Linked DNA regions of Rattus norvegicus. The protein of the gene in region 1 interacts with the protein of each later gene in a biochemical or structural test. Links are inferred from orthologs where the notes say so. Each region holds a gene or a part of one and is shown in the gene's direction. Other genes may lie near its edges.

Evidence for each region.
Region 2: of the proteins of Fbxo7 (region 1) and Uxt, one has a biochemical effect on the other in vitro, tested with the Homo sapiens proteins (2 studies listed by BioGRID). The link is inferred for Rattus norvegicus from reciprocal best matches to the Homo sapiens genes FBXO7 and UXT.

Annotation. Positions count from the first base shown.
Region 1 is NC_086025.1:19,714,449-19,719,410, reverse strand, and holds part of Fbxo7 (F-box only protein 7), read left to right. Parts: intron 1-1,071; coding exon 1,072-1,299; intron 1,300-3,222; coding exon 3,223-3,364; intron 3,365-4,962. UniProt on the Homo sapiens protein: Substrate recognition component of a SCF (SKP1-CUL1-F-box protein) E3 ubiquitin-protein ligase complex which mediates the ubiquitination and subsequent proteasomal degradation of target proteins and plays a role in several biological processes such as cell cycle, cell proliferation, or maintenance of chromosome stability.
Region 2 is NC_086039.1:3,689,280-3,693,282, forward strand, and holds the end of Uxt (protein UXT), read left to right. Parts: intron 1-2,311; coding exon 2,312-2,375; intron 2,376-2,564; coding exon 2,565-2,618; 3' UTR 2,619-2,665; downstream 2,666-4,003. UniProt on the Homo sapiens protein: Involved in gene transcription regulation. Acts in concert with the corepressor URI1 to regulate androgen receptor AR-mediated transcription. Together with URI1, associates with chromatin to the NKX3-1 promoter region.

The DNA of each region.
Region 1 (4,962 bases):
ACCTGGTAAAGAAAACCAGGAAACTGTAGCATGCCATCCTTCAGCAGTTGGTCACAAGCCTTTCCTGAATGTGTACCATGTGGCAGGTACTGTGTTCTTGTTGCAAAATGGACAACTTGTGTAGTCTTGTGCTTTACACAAACTTGCAGTCATGGAAAGATGCAGATGTGTGAACTGAAAAATAGCAATGCAGTATGGTAAGGTGCAGTATAATGGCTGTGGTGGCATCCCTTGGGGCTGTTGAAGAAGTGGGAATTCTGCAGTGGCAGGAAAGGGCTGGGAGAAGGTGTGCAGATGCCGAGCCAAGGAATGGGATGATGATGGCCTTATATTCCTTGTTTTCTGAACTTATTTTCTAGGCTTGCACTCTACCATCTGTTTCTGAAGAACTTGTTTTATGAATTTGTAGTAAGTGTAACAAAGATGCTAAGTATGAGGAAGAGGGCAAATGCATTTTGGTTAAGTGAACACATGACTCCTGTTTGTAGAATTCTCAGAGCTTTTATAAAGTTACTACCAGATCCTGTGACTGTAGAGGGTTAGGCTAGGCATAGCATGTAGTGTTTCTCTGCTTGACTCTGTACCAACATTTTCTCTAAGAACATCCAGGGACACAGTCTTAAGGTACGTTTGTGGAAATCCTGAGTTTTAAAGTGGGATAAGATGTGATTGGATTCTTAATTTCTGGGGAAACTGGAAGGAGTGCATGGTGTGTCTGAGACAAGAGGGGAGGCAGGCACCCTGAGGAGCTGTTGTTCCTGGAGGTCAGCAGAAGCGTGATGGAGTCTGAGGTAGAAGTGGCACAGGAGGCACAGCTTTAGAGACTCAGGCACGGTAGTGCTGGAGCTGTGAGCACAACGTTTAAGGCGCTTACCGAGGAGCTAGCTCCGTGTTTCTAGCATGGGGCCGTGGGACTCAGGATGGAGGTGTAGGTCACAGTCTCACTTGTTTATAAGCGCTTTCTACTCTGAACCTCTGGCTGGCTTTTGTTTTGAGCACCCATCTCTGCTCAGTACAGGGTATAAAATGTCCTGTGTAAGTTAACGGATCTGTTCTTGTCATCCTGTGCAGGAAGGACCTAGTCACAGTGCTGAAGCTGTGTCAATTCAGGACGCCATGAGTGTGGAAGAGGCTTCTGGTTTCCATCCACTGGAGCCAATGCTCTGCAGTGAAACAGAGGACGGGCAGGTGCCACATTCCCTAGAGGCCCTGTACCAGTCAGCCGGCTGCTCCACCGTCAGTGATGCCTTGATAGTGCTGGTGCATCTCCTTATGCTTGAGTCGGGCTACATACCTCAGGTAAGTGCCACCCGAACCTCTTAGGGCGTGGGGTGGTGTGAATACACTTGGCCCAGGGAGTGGCACTATTAGGAGGTACGACCTTGTTGGAGGAAGTGTGTCAAGGTGGGGTGGGCTGGGAGACCCTCCTCCTAGCTGCCTGAGGATGGTCAGTCTGTTCCTGGCTTCCTTCAGGTGAAGATGTAGAACTCTCAGCTCCTCCTGCACCAGGCCTGCCTAGACACTGCCATGCTCCTGCCTTGATGATAATGGACTGAACCTCTGAACCTATAAGCCAGCCCAAATTAAATGCTATCCTATAAGAGTTGCCTTGGTCATAGTGTCTGTTTAGAGCAGTAAAACCCTAACTAAAACATGAGACCTCACTAGGCACCTCAGTCACTAGGGCATTGTGGTGGTCCATCTTTCTTTACTAAATGTGATTGGTTCTTGAATATCAAATGTCAGAAATAGTAAGGGGTTGTCACAGGTACTCAGTAAATGCCCTTTGCAGCTTTCCTTCTTTTCCCATCATTTCCCTTGTTAGCATTTAGTATTACAGAGAGAATGGCAACTGGTCCAAAAAAAAAAGGACACAAGGCCTGTGTGCATACGGTCATGTTGAGAAGGCCTGTGTGCATACGGTCATGTTGAGAAGGCGTGTGTGCATATGGTCATGTTGAGAAGGCGTGTGTGCATACGGTCATGTTGAGAAGGCGTGTGTGCATACGGTCATGTTGAGAAGGCCTGTGTGCATACCGTCATGTTGAGAAGGCCTGTGTGCATATGGTCATGTTGAAATAAAGTGGCGGCAGTGGGGACGCGTCTGACCAGATGCTGGCTGACCAAGGTCTCACGCTCACGGCCTTGTGCTGTGGTTGCTTTCCTTCATTAACTTCATTCAGCATGGCTTCGTGCAGCATCTGCTGATGCAGTGAGGTGATTTCCTTCCTGCTCTTAGCTCTCTGTTTCCAGTTCCTGATAGTCTGAGAATAGACAAGGGTTTAGATCATTTTAGTTTATTGTGTAAGTTCTAGGAGAGACATTTGCACATGCGGAGTGCCTGGGACTCTGAAAGAGCAGTTAGAGGAGAGCTGAGGAATACAGGGACCGCATTGGAGCACAGATTCTGACCTAGTAAGCTCAGGGTGGGGCTGAGCGTCTTGCGTACTCTGGCCTGTCCCCTGTACTGCTGGCCTGTACACATTCCTTGTGGCCATGGGATGGAGTACAGAGATGAGGAGTAGCCCAAGACCATTGTGCGCCTGTGCACACTGTACGCACAGGCGCACGTTTCTCAGAGTTCACAGATGAGCACAAAAGACCAGATAGATATAACATACTACAAATAACAGTGTAAATTGACAGAGCACTACAAATATGCAGTGACACAAATGTGAACAAAATGTTAGAAAATGACTTTTCTGGAAAAGGGCTGTATGAGGGAAATGCTGTTCTCCCTGCGGTCTTGAATAACGAACGATTTGTCTTTGCTAGGTAGAAAATGTGAGTCTTAGAAGAGAAAAATTAAGCCTTATTTCTATGATGTCATTGTATATTAAAACAAAAATTTTGATAGACAAATATTATAACCTATTATCCTCCTAGTAGCAATATTAATGATGTGCATATTCTGTTAAGGGGGCTATATGTATCTTTTAAAAAATGTGTATGATGTGTGTGTGTGGGGGCGTGTCATGCGACATAGCATGTGTGGCAGGCAGGCAGCAGAGTTCCGTGGACTTGGTTCTCTGCCTTCTTTCCTTTATGTGGGTTTCAAGGCTCCACCTTGGGTGATGGCTTCTGTGACAGACACTTTACCTGCTGAGTCATGTCAGCGGCTCAAGGGGGCTACATTGCACAGTAAGTTAGGGCTGTTACTGATTTTCAGGTTTTTCAGCACAATACCTTTCTTCATTATTATTCTTTCATCTCATTCCTCAGGGGACTGAAGCCAAAGCAGCATCCATGCCTGAGAAATGGAAGTCAAGTGGCGTATACAAGCTCCAGTACACACATCCTCTCTGTGAGGGCGGCTCTGCCGTGCTTACCTGTGTACCTTTGGGAAAGCTCATCATGATAAACGGTAATGGAGCAGAGCGTCATGCTGGCGCCTTGTGAATTAAGTACTTTATTCCTAACAGTCTGTAGCCACTCGAGTGGGTGCCGAGTCATTCACATCTTAATTACTGTATGCCTGAAGACTTAAAATTAGAGGATGTTGGTTTAGGACAGCACCCTTCACTTTTGGGGTAGCCTCCTTGTTCTCTTTTTAAATGTCTGTTATAGTTTTACTTTATGTTTTGAGTGTTTTACCTGCATTTGTGTCTGTGCATCATCTCATACATATGGTGCCTGTGGAAGCCAGAAAAGGTGTCAGATCCCTTGGAATTGGTGTTAAAGATGCTGCCAGCTTCCAGGTGTGTGCTGGGAATTGAACGAGGGTCCTCTGTAAGAGTAGCCAGTGCCTGTAACTTAACTGCAGAGCCACCTCTCCAGCCTCAGCTTTTTTGTGATGTGTCAATCTTTGATCCCTTTGTTCTGTGAGCTGTGGTAGTAGAAATGAGTGGGTTTTACTGTGGATGAACTATTGGAGTAGGTTTTTGTGCACATCTGTGAATGTCTCTTCTAATTACCTTCCTTAGCCTCTAACCTGTGGTGAGGAAGTCGGCATCTCTGAACTGCTGAGGTTTTGCAGCCATGGTATGCACAGTTTAGCTGCCCGTCCTCACGGAAGTCCTCTGAATGACCTCTCTGCTCTCCCCTTTCCTAGAGGGAAGCTGCACTGAGGTGGCAGTGTGTTTCTGGATCATGTTAGTCATGATGTCACACAGGTCCTTCCCAACCACCACTGCTTTCTGGAATGTTCTCCTGATCTCACATTAGGAGATCCATTTGGGTGACCAGGATCTTACATTTCAGTCTGATCTTTTTTTTTTTTTTTTAAATATATTTTTGAAATTGGGTCTGTATACCCTAAACTGAGCTCAAATTCTTTATGTAGCCGAAGCTCTGGGGTGGTGGGTGACTCCCACCTCACTGGGCTAACACTGTTTGGGTTTTGAGGTCATCCTTTTCAGATACTTAAGCTAGAAGAGAGTGCGGTAGATTGTGCTGTTTGTGGATTGTCTTGCTTTGCTGCCTTGGGTGAGGTTTGCACTGCTCCTTCAGCTGCTGTTCTGTTGAGATGACGTTTACTGAGGTCCAGTGTTACAGAACAGCCTTGTACTAAAATTTATTTTAAACGCTAACATTGCCTTTTTGCCTTTAGAATTAGAAGTTAATTCTTTGGTCCTCTCATGTAATTTTTTCGCTCATTTCCTTTTAATTGTTCAATTTTCTTAGCTGTTATAGGATTGAGCCTATGATTCTGCACGTTTGTCAGAATGTGGCTGACGGCTTGAGAGCCGAGTAGTGTCTGTTCGTTCTCACAGCTACTTTGCATAGCTTGCAGTTTGGCTTTTGTGCCCAGAGTAGCAGTGGTTTCTGTTTCTGTGTAGTCATCCCGATTTATCACATCACACCTGGGAAGATGAACATTCCCAAATGTTAATAACAAACGCGAGGTGGGGGGGGGTTACCTCAGTTTCATAGAAAAGTACCAATGACATGCCTATACTACCCTCTCCACTAAGTATTTTGGTGATTTCTTAGTTTATGGTATTTTTGTACTTTAATTATTTG
Region 2 (4,003 bases), on another chromosome or scaffold:
AATAGGGTTATTTGTTTCCCTGCGGTCTAACTTCTTGAGTTCTTTGTATATTTTGGATATAAGGCCTCTATCTGTTATAGGATTGGTAAAGAACTTTTCCCAATCTGTTGGTTGCCGTTTTGTCCTAACCACAGTGTCCTTTGCCTTACAGAAGCTTTGCAGTTTTATGAGATCCCATTTGTCGATTCTTGATCTTAGAGCATAAGCCATTGGTGTTTTGTTCAGGAAATTTTTTCCAGTGCCCATGTGTTCCAGATGCTTCCCTAGTTTTTCTTCTATTAGTTTGAGTGTGTCTGGTTTGATGTGGAGGTCCTTGATCCACTTGGACTTAAGCTTTGTACAGGGTGATAAGGATGGATCGATCTGCATTCTTCTACATGTTGCCCTCCAGTTGAACCAGCACCATTTGCTGAAAATGCTATCTTTTTTCCATTGGATGGTTTTAGCTCCTTTGTCAAAAATCAAGTGACCATAGGTGTGTGGGTTCATTTCTGGGTCTTCAATTCTATTCCATTGGTCTATCTGTCTGTCTCTGTACCAATACCATGCAGTTTTTATCACTATTGCTCTGTAATACTGCTTTATACAAGCTTTCTTAATGGTTAACTTAATGTCTAACACTGACCGCTTCTCACAAAGCCCTTTTGTGCCTCTTGGTCTTTCTGTGCAAAAGACCTTTTCACTGCTTAACTCTCACTTCATCTTCAGTTCTATCTTATTCTTCAGACAGTTCTTCCTTGGTCCACTGTATTCATTTTCACTGATTGTATACATAAGGACTCTCTTAGATGAGACTTGATTCAAGCAGACTTGGACAGAAGGAGTTGACTGATTTATGTAACTCAACAGTCCAGGACTAGGGTGGTTTCAGGCACCTCCGTTTGCCCAGGTGTTTTTCAGCCTTTTCCTAGAGTCCTTTCTGGTACCACCTTCAAAATACCTTGTCCTGTCTGTAAGTGCATTGCCCAACAGCCAGGTGGATTCTTTTAAACCCTAATAAGTTTATTTCTCAAATCAATTTGCATTTGTCCTCCACTGTTAACCTTCTCGTTAGCACCTGATTTAAAGTAAAAGCTAAGGTCTTTGCCATGGTCCTGTAGACTTTCCACCTTCTGCCTCCTTCGCTTGACTTCAGCTCCTTCAATCCTCCTCTTTTTCTTTAGCCACAATGGCTTCTTGGCTGTGCCTGCACCATACCAAGCATGCTCCTACCTCAGCACTTTTGTATTGGTTCTTATTTGTGGTGGAACACTTATCTTCCATATCACCCCCACTAGGTGGGAGAGTTACACATCTGTAATCTCAGCAGTCTGGGCAGGAGGATCTTGAATTGGAAACCAGACTGGACTATATAGTCTCAAAAGGAAAGCTCTCAGTGAAGCCAAACCTGAACAATCTTCGAAACTGAAGCCTCCTCTTTCTACCTCTTCTTTAGTATTTAGTTCCTTATACTATTTATTTCCTTATACTTAACACATCATAATTGTGTTTGTATACTTTGTCTCTTAGTAAATGGCTTAGTGCTTAAGTGTACATACTGCTGTCCAGAGTAACTGAGTTCGGTTCCCAGCACCCATGTCAGGTAGCTCACAACCACCTGTATCTACAGCTCAAGGAATCTCATATCATCTAACATCTGTGGAAATCTACATTCATGGTATATTTCCCACACATATAACACAGATAATTAAAAACTAAAAATAAAGTTTTTTAAAGGAGCTCCAGGAAACCAAGAATTTAGTTTCATTTACTGCTGTTTCTGCTATTTCCCTATTTTAAGTTGCCTGGCATACAGAAGGCATTCAATAATCTTCCCTTCTTATCATCATATAGTCATTGTGATGGGTTTCATAAAGAGTTTCTTTCAAGTATATCACATAATTTGATCGTATTCATAGACCCATACCCCCACTTCCTTCATCCCCATAATCTTTTTTTTTTTTTTTTTTGGAGCTGAGGACCGAACCCAGGGCCTTGCGCTTGCTAGGCAAGCGCTCTACCACTGAGCTAAATCCCAAACCCCTCCCATAATCATTTTTTAACAATTGTTACTACATTTTTTTCTGAGTACATGTGAAGGTTTAAAATCAGTTCTCTCCTCCACTATGTGGATCCTGGATATTGAAATCAAGTTGGCCCTATCACCCTTGATCTTTAAATGGGGAAATTCCAAGAGGTAGCCAGACATCTCTGCATAGGATCAGGGCAGGTCATCCAGGATACAAGCGTTTCTTGAAGTGATGAGGAAGAGTCATCCTCACAGCCTTAAGTGGGGCCCATTTTGCCCTTTCTTGTTCCTTTTTTTTTCTAGGCTCAGCGACAGCCTCACCAAGGACTCCATGAATATCAAGGCCAATATCCACATGATGCTAGAGGTGAGAGCAGCTCACTCCACTCGACCCTTCAAATATATTTAGGGTGATAACCTGAAGACAGGAGAAATCCAAAGAAGGGAGGGGTCATCTTTCCTTCTAAATTAAAAACCAAAGGAGTGAAAATCAGAGCAAACCTGGGACAAGACCTAGACCCAGCCTCTGTTCAGTATACTTTGTCCTCTTTTACAGGGACTTAGAGAACTACAAGGCCTGCAGAATTTCCCAGAGCCATCTCCCCATTGACTGCATCTTCCCAGCCTCCAATATTAAACAGCCTGAATGCCTTGGAATCACATAGCCCTTTTTTCCCCTAATTTTCACTAATTGACTAAGTGCTCCAGAGACCAAAATTACTGGAAGACCCATCCTTTCTGTTGAACCTCTAAAACATTCTTGCCTTTAGAACATCTTGTATTTTCCTCCAGACTTTATGCTTTACCCTCTTTTGTCACCTTTCGAACCTTGACACTGCTCCTCACACTTTAATTCCTTTTCCTAGATATTTGTATTGGTGCCCTTTGTATTACCATAAAGAATGGACTGATTGGTGAGCTGAAGATGAGATTCAATTGGTAGAGTGCTTGCATATCACACATGAAACCTTAAATTCAGTCCCCAGTTCTGTGTACACAAGCTGGATGTGTGGCACACCTGTGACCAGGTCACTCAAAAGATAGAGGCAGAAGGATTTTTAAGTTTAAGGCAATCCTGGGCTACATGAGACCCTTGAAACAAATTTTTAAGGTTCCAGTTCAAAGTGATTTGTTTCCATGGCCCTCAGCTTTTTACTTCATATCCTAAGGGTTATTATGGTTTCACAATCCAGTGGTCATCCAGGTACCCTAAATATCATTACCACCCAACCCTTAATTTGGTCCCTAAATAGTGGTTCCAATAGTTCTAAATAGTTCTAGTTTCCACCCGTAGACAGATCCTGCCCTCCCTGCTACAGCCCCTACAGCCTAGGTTTTAGTCCAGTCTTAGATAACTAAGAACCAAATTCCATCTGTATAACTGACTGCAGCTTGCCTCTGCCCTTGTAGACAGTTAATTTCCACCTCTCAACTCCTCTGTATATCTGGCAGCCGCTCCTGCCTCCTCCCTCTGCTGGATTCTAAATTCGTCTTGCCTAGCTAATTACCATAGCTTTACCCTACCCGCCTACATAGCCCTACCCTGCTGCTATTCCCCTTTCTAAATAAGTCCTGTTTCCGCTGAACCGTTTGATGAGCAGCACCACCTACTTTTATGTTTTGGCCGCTGTCTGGGAGTTTCCACCAATCAGCTGAAAACAGAGCCCATCCAACCACCCCTCCATCCTCTGGGGCTGTCTGTCTGCCATCAATTCTCATTTAAGCCAATCGGTGTGAACTGGGCGACCTCCCTCGGCCCCGCCCCAACCTTGGCACTTGGCTAACCAGTCTTAGACCCAATCGGCATGAAGCACTAGCGCCGCCCAACACCTACGGATTCAGTCGGCTACCCGGCAGTCCATCAATCCCCTTTAAGCCTATCATGTCATAGCTCTGTTAGGATTCCAATACCACCGCCACCAGGCCCTGAAGCTGCGCTTGGAGTCTTGGCATTTTATCCAATCAACGAGCAGCAGAAGGCTTGGCTCCTCCCAC